2 linked regions of the Alligator mississippiensis genome follow. The protein of the gene in region 1 interacts with the protein of each later gene in a biochemical or structural test. Links are inferred from orthologs where the notes say so. Each region holds a gene or a part of one and is shown in the gene's direction. Other genes may lie near its edges. The genes, in order: CACNA1A and CACNB4.

The links.
Region 2: the proteins of CACNA1A (region 1) and CACNB4 form a complex in vitro, tested with the Homo sapiens proteins (2 studies listed by BioGRID). The link is inferred for Alligator mississippiensis from reciprocal best matches to the Homo sapiens genes CACNA1A and CACNB4.

What each region holds. Positions count from the first base shown.
Region 1 is NC_081831.1:23,050,222-23,066,258, reverse strand, and holds the start of CACNA1A (voltage-dependent P/Q-type calcium channel subunit alpha-1A), read left to right. Parts: upstream 1-10,111; 5' UTR 10,112-11,063; intron 11,064-15,768; 5' UTR 15,769-15,877; intron 15,878-15,971; 5' UTR 15,972-16,037.
Region 2 is NC_081827.1:226,563,470-226,579,738, forward strand, and holds the start of CACNB4 (voltage-dependent L-type calcium channel subunit beta-4), read left to right. Parts: upstream 1-9,789; 5' UTR 9,790-10,529; coding exon 10,530-10,538; intron 10,539-10,640; exon of another isoform or gene 10,641-10,680; coding exon 10,681-10,764; intron 10,765-16,269. Other genes in the region: STAM2 (signal transducing adapter molecule 2), read left to right, coding at 459-628, 889-1,117. UniProt on the Homo sapiens protein: The beta subunit of voltage-dependent calcium channels contributes to the function of the calcium channel by increasing peak calcium current, shifting the voltage dependencies of activation and inactivation, modulating G protein inhibition and controlling the alpha-1 subunit membrane targeting.

The sequences.
Region 1 (16,037 bases):
GAAGGGACTTAGTAATGTTATCTTGTCCAGCTCCCTGCTCAAGGTAGGATCAGCCCTAACTAAACCATCCCAACCCCATGTCTGTCCAACCTGCCGTTGAAAACTTCCAAGAATGGAGACTCCACCACATCTCTGGGCAGCCTGTTCCAATGCTTGACTCTGCTCAGAGTTAGGACGTTCCTCCTTACCTCCAGCCTCAGTTTCCCTTGCTGCAGCTTGAGGCCATTGCTCCTAGTCCTGTCCCCTGTGGTCACAGAGAAAAAAACCATCTCCATCTTATCTGTCATTGCCCTTCAGGGATTGGAAGTGATGTGATCAGATCCCCCCCATAATCTTCTTTTCTCCAGACTCAGTCACCCTGGTTCTTTCAGCTTGTCCTCATCAGTCTTGTGTCCCAGGCTCCTAATCACTGTTGTTGCCATCAGGCTAAGTGCAGCCGGGATCCTTCCCAGTCCCCCTCTCTTATTGCCAACAAGCCATTTTGGCCCCCTCATAGAGGGTCCAGGCTGCCCCAGATGTCATCCTGTCTTCCTCTTGCTTTCTAATCCTTAATCTGAACCCAGTGAGGCAGCCTTCATGGACAAGACACCAGCAATTGCCAGCTTTCTCCCACACAACTGGGTGTTGTTCAGCCTTTGCTCCACCAAAGACCTCTGAGAGTCAAACCTGATTCCAAACAAATCCTAACCACCCCATGCTTGGGTCCTAGCAACCAAATGGAAGCTGACAACCCCATTTTCCAGTCACCAGCCTATGTGGAAGAGCAGGGCTTCTAGCAGCTCCCGTTGGGTTGAAGACTTAAGCGTAGGTTTTTCTTTAAGCTGCGCAGGAAAGGAAGCTGGTTCTGGTTGGGGGTGGCTAGCCCCAAACCATTTCACCCTTGCATTCCCACTGCTGCTGCCCTGCTTTCAACAAGCAATTGCTAATGTCCTATGAAGAGAGCGAAGTAGAAGGCTCAGGATGGCTGACAGGAGAGCTGACACCTAAAGAGCTTGGTGAGGGAGGATGTGAGAAGCAAGAGGATCCTGCATTTGTCTTGGCTTGGCCTATAAGCTTCTCCCCCTCTTGGCCCATGGGAGGCAGCCTCAGCTGAGCTCTCTTAGGGTTTCTTCTCTGCTGGTGGGGTTGGAGGTGTTATGAAAAGTGTTTCATTTACTTTGAGTCAGCTCCAGAGAATTGCGCTCATTTAGCAACAACAAAAAAAAACCACTCCCAAAGTCTCAAGCGCCAGCTGATCTGTCGGCTCTGCTTTCTGTCAGCAAAACAGAGGCTCTGAGAAACAGAGATGTTTCAGGGGCCAGGATTCGACAGCCAGAGATCCTACACTATTCTCTACAGCAGCTGCTGCTGGGGAAGTCTGGGCCTGGAGTCCTGGAGCACCTCCAAAGGATCAGCTGGTGCCAGACCAGAGCTTTCGCTGCATTCTTGATGCAGACTTTGCACAGACCTAGAGGGAGAAGTACTAGGGATGAATGGGTCACACACAGAGCACTATCATGCACATGCCATTTCACCTTTCTGCACATGTGTGCACATGCAGCCATGCTGTTGGACACTCACATAGTGTCTCTCATCTCTCCCTTGCACTAACAGCATGGAGTGTCAGACTAGCAATGGATGGTCCAGTGGTTGCTGCAGTAGCTTGAGATTTCAGGGAACCTGTCCAATGGGATAACAACAAGAGCCAATATCACTGGGAAGGGGGTGAGGATAAAGACATCAACCATGATGAGATGCCCAGAAGGTGTGGCAATGCATGCTAGATGAATACTTCAGCTTGATTGTATAGATATCGAGTGTAAATGGCATGGCATTGATCTTTTTTGCTCAGTTTACTACACGCATGCACACATACACCTTCATGCACACACACAGACATGCACATACACATAAATATGTGCACACACAAATGTGTGTACATAAACACAAATGTGCATGTGCACACAAATACACGCACATGTACACACATGTGTACATGTACACACAAATGCACACGTGCGTGCATACACATACCTGCATGCACACATGTACATGCAGGCACACATGCTGCACATGCACATATATGAATGCACACACCTGCACGTGCACATGTGCATGCACACATGAACATGCATGTGCACACACATATACACATAGATACATACATGTGCATGCACACACACCCCATTGTCACAGCTATGGGTGGATCTAGGATTTTAAAAAGGGGGCTGCTGTTGGGGTGTTGCCGCATCCCATAGAATACAACACTTGTTTTTTTTTTCCAGTTAAGAAGAAACTAAAAGATTTACTAGTATGATTGGGGGCAGCACTAGAAGGTTTAGTTTAAGATTAAAGCAGAACGAAATATAACTTCGTTGAAGCGTGCACTCATTTGCTCGATTTATATATTAAGTTAAAAAAATGCAGCAAATGAGCCAAAAACAATCAAAAGACCCTGTTTACTTGAGTCCTGTAATTAATTGTTTTTCTCTTAGTCAGAGACATAAAACAAAGTCAGGTGTGGGATCAGGAAGGAATTTCCCCCCCACAAATTGGTAGGGGGGGCGGGGGTTGCTTTCCTTGAATGGCCTCTACCTGGGATCTCTCAAGTGTCTATTAAGAACCTTTTACAGCAGCAGGATGTTGGCCACTGCGGCTCCCCTGATTTACCTATGTCAGATTCAGATGATGGTAGTCACGAATGATGATGGATCATTGTGATAATGATGCTGATCCATTCTTGATGGATTTGTCTGGGATGTTTTGGGCAGGGTTGACCTTGCCTCAGGCAGGGGTTGGACCGGATGTGACCTCTGGAGGTCCCTTCCAGCCCCACTTCTTTAGGGTTGCCATGGAAATCCAGCCTTTTTGAGCATGTTCACAGGGCATCTAGCATGCAACTGCCTGTCCTTTCCAAACTTGAGTTCATATGACAGTCACAGAAAAGTCAGGCTGGAAGGGACCTCTAGAAGTCATCTAGTCCAATCCCCTGCCTGAGACAAGATCATCCATATTAAATCAGAGCGCCCCAGTTGAGGTTTGTAGCTAGAACTGGTCCCAGCCTGATGCTTCTTGCACAAAACGCACGTGCTGTTGTCACATTAGGATTCCTAGCCACACACTTCACATATGGTATTGCCCATAGCACGTGCACATGCTCCCCCCTTGCATGTGCGTTATCATATGCTCCCCATGCCTACTGTTATCCGCAAAGACCGCAATCAATGTCCCAGACATCTATTTACAAGCTGTCTTTTTTCTCTCTCTCTCTCTTGCAGACACAGCCACCCCAGAGGGTTCCTTCTTGTGTGTCATTCTGTTTTCCTAACACTCCTACGCTGTCCCCGTGTGAACCAACAATTAAAGGAAACTGCTGTGCACACACGCACACACGCAGCTCTGTTGTCTTATGGAGCAGAGATGTTACTCACGCGTTCAAGCATGCAGTGGGGGGTTAGGGATTTCCAGAGACTCCCCTGGTGCCTGGGACTCTCCATGTCTTCCTTGTTGGCAGTGTGATGTGGTTGTGTGAAGCTGAAGGCTTCCTGAGCTGTGCTGCAGTACGTAAGACCTGCCATTTTCCGAGTCAGACCCTAGGTCCATCATGCCCAGTCTCTTGTGTCACACCAGGGCAGAGAGGAGGTGATGAAAGGGAAAGTGAACTGGGTCTGACCAGGGTTTTTCCCCCTGTTCCTCTCCCACTTGCAGTCTCCAGCATTTAAGGTCTGGGGAGTTCTAATTCAGAGACATTGCCCCTTGCTGCCATGCTCAATAGCTACTGATGCCCCTTTCCTCCAAGAACATGTCCAGTCTTCTGTGAATCTGGCTAAACTCTCAGTTTCCACTACATCTGGTGGCAGCAGGTCCTACCTTTTAATGCCACACTGGGTGAAAAAGAACTGTCTTGTGTTCATTTTAAATTATCTGCTAGTTTCACATTGTGACCCTATGTGTGGGGATGTGGCTCAGTGTTGACTTTCTCTGCTACTCTCAGCCCAGCTATGTCAAGAGGCAGAAGCCACCCTCTGACTAGAGATGGACCAGATGTGCTGGAAGCTAGGGGGTTTGATGCTTTCCAATCCCTTTGGAGCTCCTCCTGTTTCCCCTGTCACTCGCCCCACCTCTCCCCAACTCCCCACATCTTTGATTTCCCCTCAATCTCTTCGGCTTTTCTATCATTTAATCCTTCTACTAATTACGCCCTTCCCCCCCACATATACACACACACTGATTCACCTCCATCCCCTATGGTCTGCTCCTGCTTATTGCTGCCTACATGTCCCTCACCTTATAACTCTGGTGGCCCCCACCTTTTCCCTGTTGCCCCATAGCATCAGCAGAGTGGGGAGACCAGGGCACTGACTTTGTTTGTGGGGGAGGGTGGAAAATATCAGCTGCCGTCTAAGATGCACAGATGTGCCAGCAACGCAGCTGCCCCAGGGGCCTGGCTGCTTCATTATGCCTCTGCTGTTGCTCTCCACCTGTAGCTGCAACTCTTTGCACCTGTCCCTCTTGGGGCTCTTGATTTCTTCCATCACCCTGGGGAGTTCTGTTAATAACACAGTGAGCCCTGCTTCCTCTGCCTAGACCCAGCACCTGGCTGTTGGGTTTCCAAGCCTCCTTGTCAAAGAAAGCTGGATTTTTGCATCCATTGAGCTTGAAGGAAATTTGCCTCCAGGGAGAGGTGCAGTTCCCAGCCTGGCTGGTTGATTTGCTCAAATCATCTCCCTAACTCAATCCAAGCATCTCTGCCTCTTATTTAGGAAACCTTAGAAGACCCAGAGTGGGTGGGAAGGAAGCGGTGATGGCAGAGGCAGCAAGAAGGAGCCAGGAGGCCAGCACTCACTGGTGCAAGCAGAGGGGAATGGGGATGTCCTTGGCAGGACTGGGGGAGCAGGTCAGTTAACATAAGAACTGCCATTTATTGGGTCATCTCCATCTTCTCCAGTCTCCTGCGTCTCAGTGGCAGAGAACAGGTGTTGAAAGGGAGAGTAAATTGGGCATGACCAGGGTTTTTTCCCTTGGTCCTCTCCCACTTGCAGCCTCCAGCATTTAATGTCTAGGAAGTTCTGATTCAGAGGCCATGCCCCTCACTCCCATGCTCAATAGCTAGCAGTGACCTTTTCCTGCAAGAATGTGCCTAATCCCCTTCTGGGTCTGACAAAACTCTCATCTTCTACCACATCTGGTGGCAATGAGTTCCACCCTTTAATGACATGCTGGGTGAAAAAGAACTGCCTTGTGTTCATTTTAAACCAATGACTTACTAGCTTCACACCCTACTAGTTGTGACCCTTCGTTCCTATCTGGTGAGAGTCGATAATAAATTCCTATGGACTTTCTCTTCACCATTTAGTGTTTTGTAAACCTTTCTCATGTCGCCTCTCAACCCTCTCTTTTCTAAATGCAACGGGCCTGGTCTTAGTGTCTCCTCATATGGAAGCCCCTCCATATCAAGGGGGACCAGCAGCCTGGACACCTGAGGTATCTATACATGTGCTCCAGAGTGGGGGTGCTTTAATTAGAGCAGCTCTAATTAAAGCACTCTAAGTGTCACATGTATTCAGTGTCATGCACTTCAAAATGGCGGCAAGGTCACTTTAACTACAGCTCATTTGATGAACTTTAAAGTGCCCCTGCTGCCGTTTTGAAGCGCAGGGATGTTGAATAGATGTGACAAGCTGCTGGAGCATACTAATTATCATGCTTCAGCAGACTTGATTAATTGAGTCTGCTGCGATGCGTGCTAATTGGCACACATTGGAGCAGACGTCTGGCACGTATATAGGTGCCCCTGGGTTTGAGATCCTTGTCTGTCATTGGCTTCCTGTTCAGCATGGCACAGCAAATGCCTGCAGAGTCAGCCATTCCAGCAGGGATCTGTCACTTGTTTTCTGCCACTGATTAAGCCTTGAACACATGGATCTTTTATCCTGTCCCCTCCCCACTTTCCTTTCTGTGCCTTCCTTGTCATTACAGGGGTAGCTGCAGGGGGAATGCATGTCGTACAGCCTCCACTGGTGTTCCTTCCCCACAGGAAAGCAAGTTAAGCTGCAGCATCTCAGCAGTTGGCTTTCAGTTAATTAGAGAAAGTGGACTGAGATCACTGCAAGCACTTGGCCAGCTATCCAGCTAAGCCACTGGGTCTGCCTAAAGTGGATACACGTGGTCACCCCACCCCCTCACCCCAGGAAAGGATATATCCACCCCTCTTGTCCCTGCTGTGTGAAAGGAGAGGGTGGTTTATCTCATCTCTGCCCTCTGGAGCCTTGCAAATGAATCTGAAGTAGAAAGATGTGGAGATGGCTCTAGAGTAGCCTAATACACAGATTCACAGAAATTTAGGGCTGAAAGGGACCTTGTGAGATCATCGGGTCCAGCCCCCCTGCTCTGGGCAGGGAAGATTGCATGCCCAGAGCAAATAACTCCGGGAAGGTGCGTGTCCAAAACAGCGCTAGGGAACAGGGGTGATTGGGCCATATAATTGGCTCTGATGCTGGGGACATCATTTGAGACAGAGGAGTTGGTTTGATACCTGAAGCAAGAGACTGTGGGTCCTGAGGTTTAGCCCCTGCTCTGTCACAAACCCATCTGGGACCTATGGAGTGTCTGCAGCTCCCGTTTATCCCCCTCTCAAAAACAGTCATGACAAATTCTTGATGGGCTGGGAGCCCTGCAAGGGTGATGTTGCCATGTGGCACCACTGCTGGGCTGAGAGCTTAGAGCCTCCTGACGCTCTCGATAGAGCCCAGTGATTTCCGGTGCCAGTCACAGAAAGTTTCACTTGCTTGAGCTAGAGAGCCAGGCGCTGTGCAGCAGACTCATTCTCCATTCACGCAGCTCCCTTCATGCTACCAAAAACAGGGCTAATGCCCCCACTTCTTTGGGGAGTTTCTGTCTCCATCAGGGATTTACCTTCACAGCTGAATTCCAGCTTCATTTTGTGTGGGGAAGGAGATTGGCTGCTTCTTCCTTTTGCTGGAAAAAGGCTGGATACAGATAGAAGGTGGCAGAGAAAAGAGCCAAGATGATGAGGTCCCCTTCCTCTCCTCTGCTAGCGTCATGCCAGGGCATGATTCACTCCTGACTCAGAGGCACCCCATTTCATCAGCAATGCTGTTTCCACCTCCTTATTTTTCCTCCCTCCCTCCCTGTCCAGCCAGTCTGTGCTACAGCCTTGAATGCAGAAGTGATTCAGACAGAGCAAAGAGATTCTTACCTGGGCATCCTCAGCATCTTGGAGCTAGAAGTGTTTTGGCAGTGACCCCGCAGATCAGCCACTCAGAGGAGGAGAAGGATGGCTGTGTGAACCATGCCATGTGTAAGGAACTCAGACACCCACCCCAAGGACTGTGATACAGGAGCAGACTGAGAGGAGGAGTCGGGGTGGGGGGAGTCACTAGCAGAGACAGCAAATAGGTTTGCTAGTAAATTAGGTAGCTTGGGGCAGATCCAGATGGGTGCAGTGGTAGTGGCACCCTCCTTTGATTCTTGTTCCACTTACGTTTTAAAACTATCTACCTGGGAGGGTAGGTCTTACAGTCTAAAAGGCTGTCTCTACCTCATGAAACTGATGGCAGTGACACAGCTGGTCCCCAATTTGTCTGTCTTCCAGAAAAACCCCTGGTGAGGACCCTAACTCCTGTAGGGAACCTTGTAGTTCAGTGCCAAAGTTTGTAGCTGTCAGATCTGGAGTGGTAGGTCTCATACAAGCTGACGAGATCAGTAGGGCCAGGGCTGGTCAGCTGGTGGGTGGGAATCTGGTCAGGAACAAATGAGAGCTGAAGGGATGATTATTAACCCAGGGCAAGGCTTTTCCTGCTGAGATAGTGGTGCACTAAACTGGGAAGGTGTATCCCTGTCTAGAGTGAGCTGGAAAGCTAGCACCAGGCACCATGTTGCTGGAAGCGCTGTCTTTTTAAATGAGACCTAAAAGAGACACCCTGAACTCCTGTGGTCACAAAACTCCCCTGGCACTTTGTGCCTGTCCAAAAAAATAATCCACTATATGCTCCTAATTCCACGTGACAAGGTCCTGCCTGTAGGTGAGGCTGCAGTCTGCAGAGAGGACCCATCTCTGAGTTTCAGAAGCATCCAGAGTCCACAGCTCCCACTGTGTTCAAGGCAGGGGAAATGAGGCCTGTTGTCTGTGCAGCTGCAGCATTTGGGGGGGGATGAGATGCCCTTAAAATCTTGCTGTTTTAGCAGTTGTGCCATTGAATATCTCTAGAGAAGGGCAGTGTATGAGATGTGACAACTCAGAGGATGTGCAAAGAGCATACCAGGGCAGTTGGCAGAGACGTGTTGGTGTCCTAAGTGCCCATGGAGGTCTGGACAGGAGCCACTTGAGAACATATTCTTGAACTGCCCAATTGCAAGGAACAGGTGGAATGTTATTGCTGAAGCCTAAAGCCAGGAGGTGGCTGGTGGACAAGGGGATTGTCTGGAGCTTTATTAAGAAGGGGTAGTAACACCCTTGATTTTGTACTGTTACATCCTGGATGATTCTGGGGACTTTGATTTGGTTTGGAGCAGTACAAGAGAAGCCAAAGGCAGCTCCAGCAAACTAGACTCCAGTTTATTAGGATATTAGCAATCAGGCAACATGACCAAGAGCAGCTACATACAGCAGAGTATACACAGACATACTCGCTGCTGGGTGGCCACGTCTCAGGGCCCTCTGAATCTGCCTCATGATTGAGGCAAGTTCCAGACTCCCACCCTTCTGCCATTGTGTGGAGGAGTTGTATACAGTTCAGGTTCAAATGGCTGTATTGCCATTCATGTCTCTGAGAGAATGATCTCTGGGCCAGTAGAGCAGGGTATGGGGAAACCAAGTCATGACTTGTGATCATTGTTCTTTGCAGGGGTTGTCTTATGAACATAGGGTGTGATCCCTGGCCTGTGCATCTCGGCTCCCTTGAAACTGTCCCTCATCTTCTTCCTTTTCTCACATGCTAAGCATTGTGATTCAGACTGAACTGGTTCTGGGAGCAGAGGGCCTATGAAGGAGAATGTAGCAATACACCTAGCACAGCCAAGAGGGGTGAAGGGTGTCGAGGACTCCCCAATAGTCCATCTGATCCTAAAGGTGCCTCTGCCGGGACATCACCTCCTACTGGGTAAGTCAGGGTAAGTGTTGCTCAGAGGGAAAAAGCAAGGCTAGTCTTGGGCTTGGGGCCCTGCCCTCTAATGGGGAGATCTTTTAGCAATGGGAGACCTACAGCCCACCTCCATTTTATTCCAGGGCTACAAGCCTTGTGCACTTCTTCCAGGTAATCACAGAGTTGTAGAGCATTCAGGCCAGTAGGGCTGTCTGTAAATCACATCTCATCCAACCCTCTGCTCAAGGCAGGGTCACCCCCATCAAACCACACCAGACAAGTCCTTGTCTAACCTATTCCTAACTATACAGTCGCCCCATTGATGAAGACCATCTTGCATTCAAAAGCTTGTTGAACTATTTCAATGACAGTTTGATAAGAGTCACCCTAAGAAATGCGGGCCTCTCGCATAACTTCTGGACCATCGTGGCTACAACATCACTCTTACCCTAGCACACCTACGATGGCATGCTGCCCAAAGACACGCAAAGCCCCTGAACATGCCCAAGGTAAAGCAGGGGGAACAGGGGTTGTTAAAAAGCCTAGTAGCCTGCCAGCCAAGTTCAATTTGTTTTGAATATCTCCTCCTGAATTCCCTGTAATCTGTTGGCATGCCTCCAGTGACCTCCCTGTAGTCCAGTGATTCTAACTGGGTGCACTGAGATCCTCACAAGGTTGCAACAAGGGACCTCACAGTGTTAGGATTGTAGGAAAGTAGGACTGAAAGAGACCTAATGAGATCTTCTAGTCCAGTCCCCTGCTTAGGACGCGGCAGGATCATCCCTGACTGAAGGTCTACAAATGTTATTCACAAAGGAAGCCCAGAGATGCTGCCCTGCTGTGGGCTTTCTGAGTTGTTTGGCACAGAAGTTTGCCCTGGTATTTTTTCTAGAGTCAGAAAAAAAAGAGGTGACAGCTAAGAGCTGGCATTTTCCAAGTGGTGCTTGTGACTATACCCGAGTCTGTTGAGGGGACCCTTCATTCCAGATGGGTTGAGAGCCCCTCAAAGGAGGCTCATAGCTCTCCTGGTGGGTCTGGCTTCATGTCCCCCAAATAGGTCTGTCTAAATCCTGAGCTGGCCTGGCCTGACCCCACTTAGCTTGAGAGAACTGCCAGAATCTCAGCTGGGGGCAGAAGTACTGCAGGCTACAATTACAGAGCCAGTTCCCAGCACTTTGGAAACTGCACATAGGAGAGGAAAGCAATGGGCTGCTGTTGCTTCCATGTCATTTGGTATTGTTTACCCAGCCTTTGGCCAGGGCCCCACTGGCAGACAGCTCCCTTTGTTATCAGGCTAGAAGATGGGGCCATGTGCCCACTTGGCTCAAATCAAGTCCTGAGTCTGTTTAATGACCTGGTCCCAGCAGACACAGTGAAGATGGCAGGGAAGAAAGGGAGGGGTTTGATCTCGCTGTGTATATGTGCAGCTAACCATGTATGTAGATACTTGTGTTTGCCTGGTGAACCCTGCCTTAAGGTTAATCCAGCTGTGTGTGTTCAGCTAGGTAAGTGTGTAGATGTGTGCATTTGCCTGGTGACTTCCCTCCCCCAGGGAACTCACGTTCTGCCCCCCTCCCCTAGTTGTGTGTATAGATGCATCCATTTGCCTGGTGATTCCCCCTGGAATCCCTATTCTGGAGCACACCTCCAAGGCTGCCCAAAATGATTTGAGCGAAGTATGGGCTAGTAGCCAGCAGGGCTAATTGGTTCTGTAACAATCTCAGGTGCACAAGCCTTCACCAACACAGCCTTTGATGGCTAGGGGAGGGCTCTGTCAGGGCAGATGGCTCAGTCAGCTAGGAGATTATCTGCAGCTGTTGCCACAGGAATCACAGGGCCCTGCTTCCTAGCACCTGGAAGCTGGGCGCTGATGCCCTCTGAATCATCCCATCCAGGCTACTGAAGAGGCTGCAGATGGAGGCAGGAAGTCAGTTTTGCTGAGCTGATCATGACTGTCTTAAGGTGCGTGCTGCCTGCTGGGTGAGTCTCTTCCTTGTGCAGTCTGTTCCTAGATCTGTAGAAAGTGCTGGATTGACTGTCTGGAAGGAAACTGTCTAAGCAGCAGCACTTCCCTTTTCTGGGGGTACTGATTGCATCAAGTAAAAAGTACCAGGCTGCTGGTTGCAGTGCAGGAGTCTGGGATTTGCTGTGCCCCAGGCTGGGAATCTCTGTAGTATCTAGGCTCTGTTTTTCTACTAGAGTTGCTCCTGTAATGGAAAGATGAACTATTGTCCTGCCTCACTCTCTGTAACACTTTGAGGGGCAGGAGCTCTAGGGTTGGATGTGTACTGAGAGGTGCAGAGTTTAACTTGTTCCCTGTCCACACCCAGTCAGGGTCATGTTTGTGAGTCTGTCTTGCCTATCTTATCAGTCTCCCTCCCTTCTGTGCACCCCCTGGCTTGTTTCATCCTAGGAGCTGGGTCTAGCCCTCATTCTGTGAGGGGAATGTAGTCTGTGAGAGGGTGCAGACCTCTCAAACCCAGAGGAATAGGTGCCAGGACTCCTGGGTTCTTCTGCTCCTTGCTCTGGCCTTGGCCTGTTAGGTTTACAAAATGCTGGTTGTTAAAGGGAAAGTCCCTACACATTTATGATTTATAATCCCATACTATACAAGAGCAAGGCATTATGACACGAGACTGGGAGGCAGTCAGTTCAAACTGAACAGAAAGCACTCTTTTCACTCAGTGTCATGAATGGGTGGAACTTGCTCCCACTGGATATGGCAGAAGCTGAGAGTTTAGCTGGATTCACCAAGGGACTGGACACAGTCATGGAGGAAGGAGGGATCGGGAGCCATTGAGCCTGGGAATGATAGGCACAGCCTCTCATTTGGAGCTTCATAGACCTTTACTGATAGAGGCTGAAAATGAGAGTGAGCAGGGGGACCCTGCTCTTGCCAAGGCCACTTTCCCTTCCAGTATCTGCTCTGCGTGGCCATGTGACACAGACCTATTTGTTATACCGTTGGGAAAGCATGGGTCTTGGCCCCCCCAAGTGAAAATATAAGCCTTCTTTAAGAAGGAAGCCACTGAGGACTGGTGTGACATGTGAGCCCAGGTAAGGTGGGCCTATGGTCTGACCCAGTACATGGCCGTTCTTATGCTCCTATGGTCTTGTGCAGTGTGACCCTAGATATGATATTCTGTCTGTAGAATAGAGATAATGTACCTACCCTGTGGGGGTCACAGAAGAATGATTGCTCAGGGGTTGGTCGGTTGGGAGGATGCCTATAATGAATATAAAACACCCAGCCATTAGAGCTGATATCCCTGCTTGCCCTGCCTTGGTGGATGACTCAAGGGAGGTCTCCAGGAGGGAATAAATTATTTTCCCCTGCTTCCCATCCCCTCCACTGGCTCTGTGCTTGGAGGAGAGGGGAACTTGGTGTCAGCTAGAAGCTTGGTCCTGCCTTGGCCCTTGCTGTGACTGTAGCCCAGCTCATCTCTCTTGCATTCAATGATGGGGGGCAGTAGGTCTCTCTCAGGGCTGGCAGGGAAATGGTTTCCTCCCCACTCTGATGTTCTCTATGGATTTAAAAAAAACCAACACATCTCCAGTTAGATGCAGCATCCCTGAAACCAAAGAAGTTTCCATCTGCAAATGATGTCTGTTCTTTTCACCATCTAGTCCTGGAAGCAGAAATAATCTGCCCACTGACCTTGGGTAGGTGGGAAGTGGAATGAACAGGGCCCTGAGAAGCCTGATGGAGGTGGGGGGGTGTGGGTGGATGTGGGAGTGGGGACTTGTGGCTTTCGAAGTGTACTGGGAAGCAGGGTGCTTGAAGCAGAGTCCTCTAGACATAAGGCAGTGAGGAACAGGAGAGAAAGGACAGGAGTGAATTGCAAGGGGGATGGGAGGCAGAGCAGAGCATGCTGCTGCAGTTTGTAGGGCTACTTCCATGTCTGGGTGGAGGGGGAGAGAGATGCGGTATAGCCAGGACAGTGTCGTGCCCTTATAAGTGCCACCTTAAAACTAGTGGCTGTGTGTTGCTTTCTGTATCTTTCTCTTTTCCTTCTGTTCCTAAACCTCTTGTGGTTCAACACTTTCTGATTTCTAGTCTGGACTTCTGTCCATGGGAAAATCCACTTGATACCCATTGTCCTTGAACTAGCATCATCCCCCGGCTTAAATAGTTTCCTTGGCTTCTGACTCTCTTGGCTCAGACTTGTTGCGAGAGAGCAATTGATACCCCTGCCCCACTGCTGGGCATGATAAATGGTGGTGATGATGCGGGTGTTAGAGCAGGTTTATGGTTACTCCTAGATAAATCTGTGCGTTCCTGGAGGCAAAGCCAGACAGAGGCACAGCCATGACAGGAGGTGAGTAGAGGGAGGTCTATTTCTGTGAAGGTTTTAGTTGATGAGGAGGGAACCATCCTGCTGTTCATTCACACCTCTGAGGGTTTAACTTCTGTTTGGTTTGGCTGCCAGTCTCCAGTCTCTTTGGCAACCATCAGACAGCTTTCCCTTCTGCAGGGTAGGGAGATCCAGGCTTTGTTACCTCTGCCAACAGCGCAGGTGTTGGAAGAGCCTGGTGACAAAGCCATTGGCCTCCTTCCAGAGAACCACCTCCAGTGTGGACCGCACCCTGACTAGCAATTTGTATGGTCCCATTCTGCACTGCTGGCCGCCATGTGCCAGTAGTTGGGTCAGAGAAGAGAGAGAAATCTGTGATCCTTTGGGTCAATTTGGATGGTGACTCTAACAGGAGGACAAGTGTTGTTGATGCTTAGGTGAAGCAGTGCAATGGCAACACCAGAAGTTGGCTGGGTTCTGCCCCGCTCCTGGATTAACCGCCTCTGATCTGGGTCCTGTTGTCAGCAGCTGTTGCCTCTGCTTCTCTTGGCAGATCCAATTAGATTGGCCTAGGTGGTGCCTTTAATCCTGAAGTCAGTGGGAAGTGGCAAATGTCTAGTCTCCGTGTCTTAAATCATGCTCCCTTTACCCAGAGGTATTTTTTCAAGTTATTTATAGCACATCTCCCACAGGGAAACAGTGAGTGTGGTACCATACTGGGTCAGTGGGGATATAACCTCGGTTTGCCAGTAGAAGGAGTCTTCTAGCATCATCTTGTCAGATAGAGGGCAAAAACATAAGACCCGTTGTTTCTGTGTCAGACCCTAGGTCCATCTTGCCCAGTCTCCTGTATCACACAGTAGCAGAGGGCGGATGCTGACAGGGAGAATGAACTGGGTCTGACCTGGGTTTTTGCCCCTGGTCATCTCCCAGTTGAAGCCTCCAGCATTTTAAGGTCTGGGATGTCTCAGAGGCTGTGCCCCCCCCCCCCCCCTCGATCAATAGCTACCAATGCCTCTTTCCTTCAATAATGTGTCCAGTCCCTTTCTGAATCTGGCTAAATTCTCAGGTTCCACTGCATCTGGTGGCAATGAGTGCCACCCTCTAATGATACGCTGGGTGAAAAAGAACTGCCTTTTCATTGACACCCTATCAGCTTCATTTGATGACCCCATCGCTCTTGTCTGGCGAGAAACAGTCTGTAATAAATGCCGGGTGACTTTCTTTTCACTATTTAGTATTTTGAGAAACACTTCTCACATCCCCATGCCACCCCCCTCGAGCATCTCTTGTCTAAACTGAACAGCCCTGGCCTCTTAATTTTTCCTTGTAAGAAAGCATCTCTGAACATCCTGGTTGCTTCAATTTTTTTTTTCCCCCAAAGCAGCAGTAGCCAGAAGGTGGGTCTTCAAGGGTCAGTGATACCCTGGCACTGCCTGGGAATCCAAACCCTTTCTGCATGGTTTCTATTATATCCAGTTTGGTTCCCTCTTCCTTCTCCTTATCTCTTTTAAAAAAAGACTACAAGAAGTCAGCTCTCTCTGCATAACCAGAAGCAGCCTGAGGGGCTAGGCAGCTGTAGTTGTAATTACCATTTATTTTTCTGTTGGCATAAATAATTTAAACTGGGTTCCTGTCACAAATTGTTTTATTTACTTAATAACCATAGAGCTGATGAGAGGGAAGACAAAGACAGCTCAGCCCGGGGAAACTGGGGAGGCACTGATGCTTTTTGCAGACAATAGACTTGGAGAGGGGGTGGGGGAAGAAAAATCACCTTTGCTCCTATTTACCCTCTTCCCTGCTCTCTTCAGCTAGAGAGGATAGGAGAGAGAATGCCCATCCTTGTAGCGATGGGGGCAGGAAATAAGGTGCTTACCTGGGGGCGACCAGAGAGACGGCCCAGAGAAATGCATCCTGCTCTGGTATGGAGTCTGTTCAGAGATGGGCAGAGTTCGCCAGCCACATGCCGGGAGCTGGGTCCATGCTCCTGTAGTTTAAAGCCATGTTCTGTTCCCACCCCACCCCCTCTCCCCCAACCTTCACTGCCTTCCCCTTCTTGCTAGCATAGAACTGATGACAGGGAAAAAGTAATTGGCTTGATTTCTCCTCCCTCCTTCTTTGCCCTCATCATCAGGGAAATCTTCTCCCCCCCCACCCCCACCCCCACCCTCCCTCCTCTCCTCTCCCAGCAGCTGGGACTCCATCAGCTGGCACTGGTTCCATTGCAGGCTGCCTTTTCAGGGGAAACACCATGCCCTGAGCTTGGCTGGCATCCCCACCCACCTGCCTTCCCTCCCCCCCCTCCCCCCTCCCCCCCAATCCCCATCCTACCCTTCATCCTCAGGCTGCTGAGTGTGTTGGGAGATGGATTATTTTACCTTGGCCAGGCTGGCAGGACTCCAGGAGAAGAGATGGGGTGCTGGACATAGCTGGTTGCAGTAACCCTTCACTGGCTGCCGTCATCGCTCGCTCTTTGAGGATCAGATGAGATAACAGGTAAGCAGCAGGTCCCAGAGAAGCAGTGGGGGGACAGGAGGAGGGATCCCTGGGGACGATCTCTCTCACTCTTGGATTTATGTTCCTTTTCCAGGCTACCAAATACGCTCTTTGGAAAAGCAACTCTAAGCCAGGGTGGGGAGGAGATTAGAAGTCACAG
Region 2 (16,269 bases), on another chromosome or scaffold:
CTCTAGGTCAGAGATAACCCTGCTGCTTCAGAAACTGCCACTGCTTCCTTCTGCCTCAGGCTAGATCCAGTCCACAAGAAGCCCTGTGGTCCAGGGCACAAAGTGAGTTTGATACCCCTGATATAGGTTATATGCATAACACCTGAAGGAGCAGTCTACCATATTGTAGCTGTACTGTCTCCAAGGGAACGTCAGCTTGATCTTTCTCCAACAAAATCACTGATATGAGTAGTGATGATTTTTCTGTTTAAATCCTGTACTTCCTTAATAGGAAGAAAAGCCACACCTTTTAGTTTCTCACTTATTTAATTTTAAATTGAAAATGTTGCAGGCTTTACTGTCATACTTGTAGCGTGTAGAGCTATATGGAGGAAGTCTGAGCATTTACTTGACATATTTATATTGTGTGTTTATTATTAATCAATTCAGAAATGGTATGTATTCTATTTTATTTATAGCCCTATCCACTACAGCCACCTGGTGGGAACTACATGATTCAGGGTGTTCACCAAGTCACTCTTCCCCAAGGTTACAGTCTAGGACCCGATCAGATGGGCCAACTAAGGTCTCTGCCTCAGAGTTTAAACACTTCCGGAGCAACTCAGCCTGCTCAGACTGCATATATAAGGTAATGCTTTAGCAATATACTTGAATCTAAAGATTAATTTTCCCCAGTATATAGTTACGACTTTGTGTCTGGTGAGGCAAGGAGTGGGGAAGAAGAAGATTGGAATGAATATGAAAATACTGCTTTTTATTACTTTGGAAACATGCACATCCATTGTGCACCAACGTGATCATTATGAGCAAATTTATATATTAGTTACATTTTCAGTGTAGCTTGTTCCGATGAGATTTTTTTTCCTCTTCTTTTTTTCCCTCTTGTAGTGCTGGACCAGATTCTGTGTCGAACCCCACATATATGAACCAGAACTCTGGCCTTCAGTCAGCTACCAGTCAAGCTGCTTACACCCAGCAGATGGGAATGTCGGTGGATATGTCAGCTTACCAGAACACTACGTCTAGTTTGCCTCAAGGAACAGGCTACCCTATTGCAGTTTCCGCTCCTTCAGTTCTGCCGCCACAAACAAATTACCATCAACAGCCTCTCCTTTGAAAACAAACTAGGCTTATATTTCTGAAAGAGTTTCTAAATGTTGCTGAACCTAATGATTTATGACTGCCTGTCATTGATCTCAAAGTGTATTTTCAACAACCCAACTTGTGTTTATTATGCAAAGTAAAACATACTTTGTTTGACTTTTTTGTTCAGAATCGCCCTAGACATGATTTGAGCTAGATTAACTAACTAAAGTTTATTATTTCAAACCCAAAGTGAGTATCAATCAACTAAAACACTCCCTTCAATCTCTTGAAGCGTCACTTTCAAATCTAAAATTAAGTAATAGATTGTCCAAAAGAGAATTGATTCTTTTTTTCAGTATGTTTCTGAAAAATTGAGGTTGTTTTAAAATCTAGTTCTTTGTTGCTTTGTCTGTTACCCTTTTGCATTTTTTCCATCTCATTGACTTAGGGAAACCTTCATTTAGGTGGTGTTTTTTTATTTAGACGCGTTGTAGTCTTGTTTGCACCATTGTCAGCTCTACTGTGTGGATTGTATTACATACCCAGAACAATTGCATGGTAAAGCAAATGTGAACTCGAAGAGGTAATTGTTTTGAAGACATGGCAATGAGGACCACGTAAATACAAAAATGAAAAGTGTTAAGATTTTCTTCTATATTATAGCCAGACTGGATTTGGAGCTCTGGAGGTCTCCTCTTTCCTCCACCAGGTGTTGTTTTGTTAGGGAGCTGTTTCACTACTTCTCTATAGGAGTTTATACTTTAAGCATCAGATGTTTCAGAAGGGCAGGCAGGGGCAGCTGCAAACTGAAGCACTCTGTGGTTGCAAGTTACCTAGCCAGGAAACTGTGATCTCTCTCCTTTGTGGTGGTTTAGGAATGGGTAAGGAATAGGCACCAAAATGCTTGTATTGAGGGACTATGAAGGTCTGCTTTGTTTTCCTCTCAAATAATGGTAAGGTGGAGAAGACCCCCAGGAGCAGAATTATCTTTACAGACCAGGGAACTCTTGCTACCTTTGATTCCCCTCCTAACCCCAGCTGTCAGTCACTTGTCTGGAATAAATATCAATCTAGTAATGGAAAAGCTCTTACACCACTTGAAAACATTAGTTTAGACCGCTGTGTAAAAACAGGGGATGTGTTCTGGGTGGTGGAATTATATTTTCTTTATGCATAAAGAATAGGGTACATGTTGAAATGAAAAGGAACTGCTTTGTACTTGTGGAACTGTAGCATTCAGTAGATAAAAAATCTGAAGACATTTTCCTGCACTTTTTAATGGGTAGCTTTTGTAAAGGGTAGAAGAACTAGAAGAGTTGGATATTTTTTCACGAATACAGGACTTCTTTCCTTTTATTGTTTTTACTTTGGAAATCTGAACATCGCTCTCTTCCCACCTACTTAATCAGCTCAGTAATGTAATCATATTTATAAATATTTTAACTTTATGAATGGCTTATCTTTAGACTGAGGAAAATAATGGACGAAAGCACTTGGATAAAACCATCCGATTAAATGCATGGAATTGTTGAAAGCATTTCTGCATATGAATGTTATGGTGTATAATTTTTCTATCAAATGAAAACTATTACACTGTAGATCCTACTAGTGTTCTCCCAAAATAAAATGTACGCTCAATTCAGTGCCACCTCCATTTCTTGTACTGTTACTAAATTGATTCAGTAGTATGATTTTGTTCAATTGTGGCTTCATATTAGAACAAAGTGTTTGGTAATTGTTCTTTGAATGGTACAAATTCCAAGTGTGCATAACTTTTGCAAATTTTTTGGCATTTAATTTTCACTTGAAGCTGTTTAATAAAAACTACTTTAGTTGGCATCATATCCGTGTTTTGATAACACATTCCTTGATTCCTTTTTAAAAAAAATATCACAAATTCATTTGAAATGCTGATTTTTATTTTTTAAGGATTTCTAACCATTTGGAAATTCTTTATGCAAGGACTTGTTCTAGTAAAAAATATATTGAATCAAATTTAACCCTACTAACATTTATGTAGAATCAATCACATTTGTTAGTAAAATATACAGGTAAGTTTTTGTTTGATTTATAGGCTCTGATCCATCATAAATATTGTCCAGTATCTTAAATTGGGATGACAAGCATTGACCAGTTACTGGATTAATGTTTGATTCAAATTTAGTTCTTAATATAAATAGTGTATATACTCATTTGTCTGAGGATTTATGCACATTATGACATATACATTCACTCTATAAATAAACCTGAAATTTTATATTGCAGGATTTGGCATCCCGTCATTTCTTGTAAGCCTAATTCTTTGATGCATTTATGCAATTTGTAGATAGTGTAAAATATTTTGATTTTTGTCATTAAAATGGTGTATTTAGAGGGTTTGGTGTTAATGGGATCACTTTTTCTCTTCGTACTTCAAAACATTATCATATTTATTTTTAAGGCCTGATTGTAACTAAATATACTGCCAAAGGATCTATCTAACTTCGGATTTCTACATTAGGTTTATACCTACTGTTTTATACCGGGGTAAATAATAGAGAACGTCTGCTTTTTCAAATAAATCCTTAATGTTTAAAATAGAAAAACTATTCAACTTTATAATGAGAATTTTATTGTACTATTTGTTTTATTGATGTTGAAGATATTAATACAGGATAAGCTTTCTTCTAGTATGAGTTTTGGAAACCTAAGAAAAAACCCTGGAATAAGAAATGTCACTTTCGATTGACTGTTATGCACGGACATGCTTTATGAATGACTGTTTCCAAGAGCCTGCATTGACAAACATCTTGTCTGTTTTTAAACTATGGACATTGAAAAATAAAATCAGTAATGTAATTGTTAAAATTTTAAAAAACATGTTTTTGTTTATTTCATTAGGATTATATTTTCATATTCATAGTATCCTCTGGACTATTGTGATTCAGTGAAAAGTTGTCTTTTCAGCAAAAAGTGGTGGATATGATTTCAGCTCCATCCTTTGTTGGAACTGTGTTCTCCTATAAGAGCATTCTTCTTGTCTTATAGCTATGCATCTATACTAAAAAGTACAGCTCAGTAATGAAACACAAGCAGGATTGGTTTCTGTATATCTAGTGAGTAAAACTGAGTCTCTTATTTCTACACTTACTAGATTAATTGTACATGAAACAACACTACATTAACATATTTTTAGAAGATGAATATAGGAAGGGAAGAAAAGATATAGGCACAGTCTCAGTTGGTATAAACTGCCATAGTCTCATTCACTTCAATGGAATTATGACATCTTTCCCAGCTAATGATCTGCTCCCGTGGCATGGCATGTCTGAATGTGTTCTCTGATCTCACATTCCAAATTAAGCTCTCACTGCTTCTATTTTGTCTCACTTTAAATTGAAGGGTAGATATGTTTATCAAAGGTAAAATATACTGGAGGAGAGGGTGACTGCAGTTAATGGATAATGATGTTTTTTTGAATTTGCAGTACTAAAAATAGGGGATTTCTTCCATTGGAGTAACCATATGTTTGCACTGCCTTGTGTGAATAAAAGGAACTTGTTTTAATCTGTGCTAGTAGAGAGTTTTCTGTTTTAAAATTACTTACCAGAACTATGTAACTTGTGCCTCTTTGATTCACTCTATTGGTTTTTGTAAGCATATATAGCATAGCTATACATTGACAAAAATGTATACCTATGGATAGAGAGAGCTCTCTCTACAAAATGGATGTTAAATCCATGTTAGGATGAGGAGAATAATCAACAGTCTTATTTACAAAGGATGTTAATTTTTCATATATTGATAGTCCGCTATATATAACTATACCACACTTAATTTTTAAAATGTACAACCTGAAAAGACCCGAGTATCTTACTGTAACTAATGGAACATTGATTTAGAGCACTTCTGGTAACCATCTAACCAAAAGGAGATTGTTAGCTGAGACCAGAAGGGGAAAAGCCATTGTCATACATTTTAAAAAGTGAAGTCATAGGTCCAAAACACCTGAAATCAGTTCCTGTGATTCATTCTTAAACTGTGTCATTGTTTTGCATTATTTATGTTGAGTCACTTTAACTTTTATGGAATGGTGTGTAACTAGTTTTAGACCCATAGTTAAGTCTTGTAAAAGCCAGCATTTTCCAAACCTAATAGCAAAAGAACAGTTTTCAAAGATTTTTCATTTCAGAGAAAATCAACCTTTCAAACCATGTATTCTCGGTGAGATGACTAAAAACAGTGGAAGTGAATCATAGAGAAGAAGTAGGGCTGGAAGGGACAAGGTCATCTAGTCCACCCCCCTGCCTGAGGCAGGAAAGGTTGCCTTGCTTTATTCAGGGATTGAACCTACAACCTTGGTGGTGTTAGGGCTGTGCTCTAAACAAATGAGCTAATTGGTTATAAACTAATAAAATTTGAACAACTCCTTACTATCTTCATTTCCTGAACAACACATCAGTTGCATTACTGAGAGGATGCAACTGGGGCAGTGGCTTCAGGTGCTACCTTTGAGGAGGAGGAGGGGGAGGGTGCAAAAACAATCGCTGCCCAGGGTGCAGAGCTGCCCTGTTATGCTTATGAATAGACATGGGTGGGAAGTCAGCCAGCCAGAATCATATTAAGATTTAATTTAAGAATCCTTTTGTATTTAGATTAATTCAAAACATTTTAAACACTTAATTTTTAGACTTTGGGATTAATGCTATTCAGTTCTTGCTCATGTTTCTTTGATCTAGGAGTTAGGCTGCCTAATTTCATTCAAGGAATTCCATTATCTACTACTTGTGAGCTTAATGGATAAAACTGATCTGATGATACTTTTTTTTACCAGATATCTGTAGGGTATAAGTTTTTTTTGGCAAAAATTGGGAAACATTACAAGAGAGTCCCTCCCCCCTCAGCCTGCTGCACTTCTGGATATTATTCAAAATATAAAGTTAACAAAACTAGGGATGAAAACAATCTGCATCCTAGTCATATACGTGAAAATAATCTGTGCCTTAGTCATATAAAACATAAAGATAATCCCTACTGACTAAAAAGGTACTCTCCAAGGTGAAAAGACTGTGGAATGTTGTCTTGGTTTCTGTTTGACTTCGTTTAAACACTGATCCATTTGCCAGTTTTCTTCAATCAGGTATGAGAAATAGTCTTCCAGTGACTAATCTTTGTTAAAAATTCATATTGCCCATTGACTGGATGAAAGGTGGCAGGATTACGAGTTAAACCTGTAAATATAATTGAAACTGTCACATTTAACAGAAATATATTTCCAGATCTGCATGGAAGTAAACAGACTATTCTAACTTATCTGAGCTTAATTTGCACAAAGTGAACTATTTCAGCCAGGGGATCTTACAATACCTTCAGCTGTCTTGTGAAATATGAATTTTCATTTCCACCTAGGAGAAATTTTACAATCTTTGCATTTTCCTGTGCCTGAGGAAGGGTGAAAGTGCTGGAAAGCTTGCAAATGAACTTTTTTGTCTTTCTTTCTTTCTTTTTTTTTTTTTTTTTTTTGCAAATATAGTTGGTCTAATAAAAGATATTACCTCTACCACGAGTTCTGCTTCCAGATGTACAACACTTGTTTTTCTCTCCTTTCTCCCTGTCAGTTCTGATAAGACTATACAGCCAATAATGGCTTAGCTGGAGAAACCCATGCTTTTCAGCAGCATTACTATATGTGTAAATAATTGGTCTAGAAGCAAATAAGCTTGCATATATGTTTTCTTTTTTCACTTCTGTAGGAGGTGTTAATGTTCTTAAGCACATGAGTGGGAAGCAGGGAACCCAGGTCCTATTTTCAAGCCTTCCCTGGAATTCCTATGTAACTTTGAACAAACTGCTCAATCTCCATTTTGATTTTATTCCTCTGAAAATTTGAAATCATATTGCCGTATCTTAGATGTTTTAAGGTAATGTTCTTCAGTAGATGCATTGGAAGTGCTACGTAATATTACAACTGAGCATGTTTTAATTAGTTAGATTTTTGTTTCAAATCGGTTTGAGATTCAGTGGGTTACAGTGGGCTAATGGACTGGTGACAGTCTGGAGGCTCTGCATTCATACCTTAACCTATCCAAGCCTGAAATCAGAGTGTAGTGTAGTTAAGATCCAGATATTCATGCAAGAACAAAATGCTTTCAGATTCATGATTTAAAAAAAAAATGTTTTAGAAGAGAGCAAATTTCTATCAGTTACGTAAATAAATGGTGGTATGTCAAAATTAGGTGCAAATGAAACGTATCTACCTACGTTTAGTTTGACATTCTTAAATTGGATAAACCATCTGAAACGTATTCTCAAAGTGCACAGTGCAAGCTGATCAATCATTCTAATATTATAAAAGCCTAAGTCTGTCTGTCTGTAACACTTTATTAGCACTCTGACTGGCTGACAGAAACAGCTAATCAGAGTGCTCCAGGCATAGGGGAGAGTGCTGCCATGATTCGGAAGCTGTGCCAAGGACTGGACAGGGTGGGGGAGCCGATTGGCTCCCTGCAAGAGGCAGAACAGCAGCAGCATGGGGCATTAGGTGGCAGCACTCCATCCCAGCTTCCTCCCCTCTGCCCCCATCATTCTTGATGGGCAATTGGCTAGTATTATATAAGGATAAAGCATCAACTATTTGTTTATATTCGCTTTTAATTTGTAATTAGTTACAAGTAAATCTATCATCTACTTTGTAGCTTGGAGATGCATTCATATTAGTTTTTTTTCCCCCATCTGTCTTTCCATTGCATACACTATTCATGCTATACTCTTGGCTATAGGCCTTAATACTTCAGCCTGATGATGAAGTTTGTTAGAGCAGTGGTGCTCAACCTCTCGACCAAATCTGGCCCACAGGGGCCGTGTCATTAAGGGCTCCAGGGGGCCCTATGAGTCTAGAAATGTGGCAACAGGAGGAGGCTGGCAGTGTTAATTGCTGTGGCTTCCAGAACCATTGCAATTAACACTACTCCCACGCCACCAGGGACCAGATGACATAGTCCCATGTGTGGGTATTGCTTTGTGGCCATATCCAGGACACTGGCACCAGCCCTAAGCCATTCATTTGGTCCTTGGAGCCAGAAGATTGAGCACCATTGTTAGAATCTTAGTATCTCAGTTAATCTCTGTTCTTTCTTTACATCCAGGTGACATGCATCTTATTCAAGTTTATGCTTCACAGACACAACCATTACAGGCAAAGACAAAACTGCTCTGTATAAAGTGAAAAGGACTGACCCCCTCCCCCAGTGCCAAATTAAAAAGAAAATCTTAAACTAGAGGTGGCTCTGGGAGTTTGCATGCAGACACTTGATTGGTTAGGGCATGTAAATAAGACTAAAAGTCAGTGTTCAATAGAGAATGATGAATGGGAAGGAGTTACCCTAATACTGATTTACAGAGTTGTTGACAGTTAGGAATTCACGGTGGATTAAGTTCCAGTGATTGGAATTTGAGTGTTAACATGGTCGAGCATACTGAGGCTATTTGAAATACGATTCATTCCATTAAAGCATCCAGGGATTAACTTGAACCAGAAGATAGAATGATTTAGTAATGTCATCAGAAATTCAATCGCCAATAGTAGCCCTAGCGTATTGTCCTATTAATCTGCCTTGCATCCTATATGTAATTACAGAAAATTATGTTTTTTTAATGTTGCTGCCTATGTAGGTTCAATATGAATATTTCCTTTGTGTCCAATTTATTTGTGGTCACATCATCTGCTACTCACTCTTACTAACTTCTCCAGCTGCTCGTACTCCTGCCTCCAAAAACCAGAGGCAGTCATTTGTCCTACTAATTTTGAGTTTACTACCCAGTCTCACAGCAAGCAAGCCTCTTAAATGTAGCTGTGCTATGTAGTCAATTACCAGCATGCCTTTAAACAAGATGTTCCATTTTGGTTCTCTATACCAAACTGCATGTTCCCCATAAACTCAAATTACACAATATAGCATATTGCTTTTACTGCCTTGCAAAACTGACCTTCAAAGCCACAAGGTCATTGCAGTTCTATGGAGGGGCAGGCAAACTGGCCTGAGACAGCAAAATGTTTGGGGACTCTGAGCAACTGAAAAAAAAATGACAGAATTTTTATGTAGTGGTCATTAATGCCACAAAAGTGTTTACAGAATGATTTGAGCTTCTGAGTAGCTTCAGGAGCCCAGTGTCTTCACAAAGATGTCTGCTACTACTGTGCACTAGCTTTCATCTGAACCACCCAGATCCTCGCTTTTTGTTAGATGTGGGCCCTTCACAGCCCAGAGTACACACACAACCTTACCTATGTACAGGCAGGTCAGAGAGGTGCAATATCATCTAATGTGTGCAGGATCCAGCTGGGCTTCATTAGTGCTATTGTTGAATATATTGATGCTTTTTTTTTGCCAGTTGCAGCAATTCTGGGGCCCTTGCTGGTCAACTTGTCTGGAGCAAGAATGAGGATGCTGGTCAGACGCTGTTTCTTTCCCCAGGGCAGAGAGGTAACAAACACCACACAGCCACTTCTGTTTGTGACAGCCTCAGGACTAGCCCAGATCCAGGTGTCTTGCACCTCACCGTCTCGGCATGATTTGCACACAACTGTTTTCCTCCCGTAGCCCCCTTTTCACATAGAAAACTTGTATGCCAAAACTTCTCTCTGAACACAGCCTCCTGGAAACAGTGGCTTGGCTAGTCTCCTTCCTGCGCTATTCTGCAACACAAGGGAATTGCAGAAAGGGTCCAATGGCCTAGATTAAAAAAAAAAAAAAAAAAAGTGCTTTAAACATCACAGTGCCCTTCATGACTCAGAGAGAGGTTATCACGCAGCAGCCTTAACTCTTGCTGGGGAAAACGTTATCCCGGCTCCTCAAACGTGATGCCCCATTTTGCGCTGCCCCGGGCCCCTTCTGCTTCACCAAGGCGCGCTTGCCCGTAGTCTACATCACCGTCCTTCCCGCGGGCATCGGCCTGACCCGCCCTCGGAGCCAAGCGCGAGCTAATACAGAACCTGCAGCCAGGCTTTGAACACCGAGCTTTCAAAAAAAACCTTGATTTTTTTTCTTTCCCCTCCCTGCGCCCCACCCCCGGCCAGCTGCGCTGCGTGGGGGCCCTGCCCACCCCGGGCGGCTCGGACTCCTGCTCCTCCGCCTCGTGCCGCCCACCCCCACCACAGCCCCGGGGCCTCTCCACAACTCCCGCGGCCGCCCCGGCACCTGCGGGCAGGCGGGCGGGGCGGGCACCGCCTCCAGCCGCCCACGGCCCCTGCCCTCTCCTGGCTGCGCCCGGGGCCGGCGGGGAAACTTCCCGCTCCGCTCCCCCGAGACGCCCCGACCCGCCCTGCAGGTGCCTGAGCCGGCCCCGGCCCCCGTGGCAGGCAGGCGGGCAGGCGGGCGGGCGGAGGCAGCGCCCAGCTGTGCAGACTCCGCGCTGCAGGGACCGAGCCGCCGGCTGCATCGCGGGCTCCGCTGCTCCTCGCTCCGATGGCTGCGGTGGGTGCTGCGCGGGGCCGCGGGGGGCGAGGGCTCCCGTCCCCATCCCCGTCCCCGTCCCCTCGGGCGCGAGCTGCCCGCGCGCGGCCCTTGTGACTCGACCTCTTCCCCTCTCTCCCCCGTCCCCGCATGGCGGGCGCAGGTGACGCGAGGCACGGCCACCCGGCGCAGCCGGCTCAAGCGCTCCGACGGCAGCACCACGTCCACCAGCTTCATCCTCCGCCAGGTAGGGCCGGGCCGGGCCGGGCCGGGCGGGCGCGGTGCAGCGCGGCGGCGGGAGGCGGCGCACGTGTGTGGCCCGCCCGCTGCACCGCCGGGGCCCGAGGGGCTCGCGCCGCGCCGACCCCGGCCGGGCACTCGCGGGTGTCGCCGGGCCCGGGCACGTCGGGGCCGCGTGCGAGACCCCGCCGGGCTTCCTGCGCGGCTCGCCTCGGCTGGGGCTGGGGGGCCGCGTCGCGCGTGTCCGCGGAGCCCCGTGCAAAACGCCTCTCTCGCCCCGCACCCGCTCTGCCAAACAGCGGCACGTCTGACTGGGTCCCAAACCCAAGGGTTTAGAAATGGGCATCAAGAGGCTTTTGGTCTTTTATTGTTCTCTTCAGGAAAAAATAAAAAGTCCTTTTATGGAGGCTACAAGCCATTGCATTATACGCTCGGCTTCATCTGTCACTGGGGACATTTTTTAAAGCAGTGGTAGACATTTTTGTCCGGATTTTCTTGCAACTTAATTTTCAGTTGCTGGTGCAGGGCTTTTTAGGGGGTTTTTTGGCCTCAAAACAAACTTGGAAAACAGTGCTGGATTTATGTACTGGAGTCTGTTGGTTTTCTTTTTTTTTATTAATATTTTTCATGCTCTCAGATTCTTGCACTGTATTTTGAACCTTTCTGCCTGTGCGTTTAGGGCACCCTCGGGTCCCATTGTAGGTTTAGGGCCTAAGCGTTTCGTTGGTAGGAGCTAACACCTCGCTGTGTGTGCACCTCAACCAGAAATTGGAGCTGAGCACTCAGAGCCTCAGGGTGGGGCCGACTTGTGGATTAGGCTCAAAACTTGTGGCGTATTGTCAGCCTGAAGTGCTCATAACGTTTTGAGACCGGTTTGAAAACCTGATGTATATAAAGATGTAATGTGGTCTTCTGGGTCTTGAGCTATTAGGTTATATTTGGGACACATTATTCAAGTAGTTCTCTGTAACTAGGAGGACTAGAAACACATTTGTTTAAAAAAAAATGAATCCTGAGACTTTCAACTTTCAGGTAATCACTTGATTCCAGGAGCTGAGTTTTTAACACAAACCAGAAGGAACCAAATGATTGCCATGCATTTAGTATAGGGGAGCCTAAAACACCTTTCCTTCTCCTCCTGCCTTTGGCACCAGTGGTTTAGGTAAAGTCAACCTTGTAACAGCTACCCTTCCCCTTCTAATTCCCAAGTTATGTTTTTGGCTACTAGCTTTCCCTGGATAAAACAGAGATCATCTGTACTCTGACTGAAGCTCTGGCATAATTTCTTATGTGATGTTTGTATAAGTCATTGTTTTAAATATAAACTATGAAATGTAAATATTTTGAGGGGTTGTTCATTCTTTGTTTATGCCTAAAGAGTTCACTTGACTGGGGGTCTGTGCCTGCCCTTTTTGCACAGCAGAAGCTCTCCATGCTGCTAGTGGGATTTTGGGGACGATAAGGAAAGCAGGACTGGGCCTCTGAATAATTTGGGCATCTTCACGTAACTGTCCTGTTGTAAAGGTTGTTGAGGGAGTGAATTATATTGGTGTAATGGACAAAGGGGAAATAAATGCCCAAAGCGAGTCATCATTTACAATGGCTTTGTGCTATTTTATTTTCACTATAACTGCATGTGCAGGCTCCTGGCAGTTTCACATTGGCAGTTCTCATTTTGCTGGACATGAGGAGAAGTCAAGGGAGCACAAAGGAGTAAAAAGAATATGAAGCTTAATGTAACCTGAAGCCAAATAGATTTGACTTGCAATAAAACATTAATAGATCTGAATCTAGTTTTGGTCTGTGTTCATGGACTGTGCTAGTTCTGCAAGTCTTGCAGAAGGGCTGTGGGCACTTCCTGTAGCTGTCAGAAATAATTTTGTAGACTCTCTGATATGTCCTTTAAAGTGATGGATTTCCAATGAAGTGTCAAAGCACTGTCTGTAGGAGTAAGACTGCATTTTACTTGTTGTCACTTTGTTGCACTGCAAGGGATCTGAGGTCTGACCCTGGAAGGTGCAGAACATTCTTCCTTACTGTTAGACTTCTAGAGGGGAATTCAGGGCACACAGTTTCTCAAAAGTCCTCAACTTGCAGGATTAAATCTTCTGTGGCTGATCTTGCAAAACCTTGCTCACGTGTACTGCTTACACAAGGGCCCAGTGGAAACTGGTAGGTCTATTTGCATGAGTAAATGTTTTTAGTCGGGCCCTAACTACCTTGTTGTCATATTTGAGTTTTATTGCATCTGACATCTTATTTGTGTTCCAAATGTGCTGAAATGTTCCCCGTGCTTTGCAATGTATTCATTTTCTCATGTTCGGTGCTTGCTGTACTACAGTTCATCTAAATAGCTATTAGTCTGTGATCTCGTGGAGGCCAGTTAGAGAAACTCTCTCTGCTCATGGTTATGGTCTGGGGGCTAGATCCAGCCTGTGGAGCTCTTGGATTGGGCCAGTGGAGTGTGGGGGCTTTGCCTGTGCTGTGCTGACAGAGGTGGTGGGAGCCAGGTCCTAGTACCAGCATGTTTGATCTGCACTGGGTCATCCTGGCTTGCTGCCTGAAAACAATGCTGACTCCTGCTCTAGTGTCCTACCAAAAATGTATACCTGTGTTATTAAAGGGCCACTGTCAAATATTTAAGGCTTGGCATTGTGATTTTCCTTGTAATTGATAATAGTTTGTATCTCTTGCACACCCAAGACTAAGTGATTTCACTGAGAAGTTTGTGTGCAGGGGGTACTAAATTTTGGTCCTGCATGGAGAAGGAGCATAATTTGTTTTGCATCTATTTTGTTTTCCACAAAACTTTACATGTGCTTAGTTTTAGATTGCATGTATGATAGTGCTCCTGAGGGCTGGGGTGGCGTGGGCACCAGTGTGCACAGTTGACAGCTTAGAAGTTGCAAGTTCAAGGCCATACATAAGTGCTCATGGTGCAGCCTGTCAAATTCCAATGAAATCTGTGAATTTTGCTCAATATGTTGTCACAAGGACATAAAATGTAGGAATAGTGCTCCTAATTTACATGCTTAATTGCCACAGTTGCATACATCTCTGTGGCCTTGCAATAGGAAATATTCAGGTTTAAATAGCCCATTAATGCCTTCCTTACCGGCCAATCATATGATCACTGCAGATTTTTATATAGTATGCTGTTTGGAAAATCAAGCTCAGGCTGTTCATTTCTCTTTACATATATATGAGTTAGTTGCCATTAGCTTTTCCTCTCCCCAGAAATGCAGCTATTCTTCCTGGTCCCCTAGACAATGATTTGTGCTTTTGCTGCCAGCTGTGCAGTAGTGAAAGCTGTGGTAGCAGATAAAGTAATGCACACTATTCCCAGAACTGTGCTGACACAGTTGCTGTTCCTGCACCAGTGTCCAATATGTCTTGGCACAATGAGGTGCTACATAGGTTGAAGCTGTTACATAAGTATAACTTTAACTCTGTTCAAAGTGCAGCAAAATAAATCAATGCAAGAATCTGGATTTGTCAAATGGAAGAACAGACTGAGAAAAAAAGTGATGTTGCCTACTAACAGGATATTACAGACCCTAAAGATAAAAAAAAAAAAACCAAAAAAAAAACCAAAACAAAACAAAAATTGTGCAAGTTTACTTGAGAGTCCTTTAGATGGTGGAAAATTCAATAGTTCATAAAGACAACAAGAAGCTTTCATCTGAACTGCATGAGTTCAGCAACAACAATATCTCATGGAGTGCCTCCCACCCATCACTGAAAAAGAGTATGTGGATGATTTGAAGTTAGACAGGTGTTTAGGAAAGCATCACATTACTTTTTCCTGTGAATGTTACTATAATATGTTCCTTCCCATACAGCAATGCCGTTCTCGAGATAGTGTTTCCTTTGCAGAAAGACATTTTGGTTGTTTCTTTTGTGCTTTAATGGAACTGGCTTTGAATATTCTCAGCCTCCATGTTTAGTCTTTGGTTTTCAATTTCTTTTATAACAGAAGGGATGGACGGTGGGGGGGACTTTAACTGTATTTAGCACCTGTAGGCATATCACCTTGGTGATCTCAGTCACTGTGAACTTTTCTCCACACCTTTTTTCCTCTTCCAATAAAGATTAGGTTAGTTGGGACACAGGCAAGAAAATGTCCAATTTTCAGTGTTTATAACAGGTTGTTCAGTATTATTCAGATTACATGTAATTTTGAAAATATATTTTTTTTCACTTGTATCACTAGACTTTGTAGTACAGTGTCCTAAAAGAGTTTAAAACAATCCAATCTAAATGTTAATACTGTAGTATTTTAAGATTAGCAATTGGTTACCAGAACATACCAGTGGAACTATGGTTTTTTTTTATTATTCTCATTCTAACATGCATGTGTAAAAACGGGGGGAGGGGGGCCACACACACGCACCTGACAACTATTTGTGCCTCTCAAGATGAACCACTCTTCTGTTACATTTATTTGTTTTAGTTTGCATTTCTCTTGAATGAAAAAAAAACGTAGCAGCAAATAATGTTTTGAGTAAACTTGAAATGGGTTGTTTAACTTTCCTTCCCTGCCCTGCAGATTTTTATCACTGAGAAATGTCAGTAAAATACTTTTAGTCTTAGATGTGCATCAATAATGGCAGAAACACTGCTTACAATATCATGAACCTGGAATTATGACAATTTATGCCCATAATTACTTCTTAACATATGATAAATGTTATAATGACAGAAATAGATTAAATGAGGTACAGATGGAAGCAAATACCCATATGCTGAAAATCATTAGGGAAGTATGAATAATGTTTATAGAATTAAGTGAACAGGTCGTTCCCTCCAAAAATTAGTCTACCTTGTGATTCAGAGCTTTTACTGAGGGGAAAAATAACCTGCAAGGACTGAACATCATTAACATGTGCATCTCATTTCAGTTCTGCTGTGTAGTTAAGGAAGTGCTAAAATTTCAGTACAGTATGTGGACTACACTTGCCCTTAATTTTAAGTATCTGCTTAAGTGGTTTGCTCTATCAAGACTTAGCAAATGCCTGGAATGTCTTAGTTCATATGAGTTATTTCGTGCATGTAAGTAGTGCTATATTGAGTTCAAAGCTCTAGTCATTAAGGATCCTGTAGTTCTTTTTGTAAGAATAGGGTATTAGCCTAGCTATATTGGCCATGGTTTTTCTTGGGGTCGGACATAAATTCTGCCTGCAGATTCAAACAGGTATGATATTCTTGTAGTCTTTTTGTCCGGTCCTATTGTGCATTGTGACACAGCTGTGGCGTTCTGCTTCTGGGATATCATTGCAGGGTGAAATGATCCTAATGCATATTGTGTATACTTCATATAAGCTGTTATAGTAAGGTCAGGGATATTGTAAGTGCTTTGGGATTTCTTGGACTGAAGGATGTTCTTTCCAAGGGAGCTAATTATTAAGTAAATGATGCATTAATAGAAGTATTTGGATACCATTTTTCCTTCTGCTAAATAAGAATTGCCTCCATATTTTGCTAGAATGAATGGGTGTTTACAACATTACGC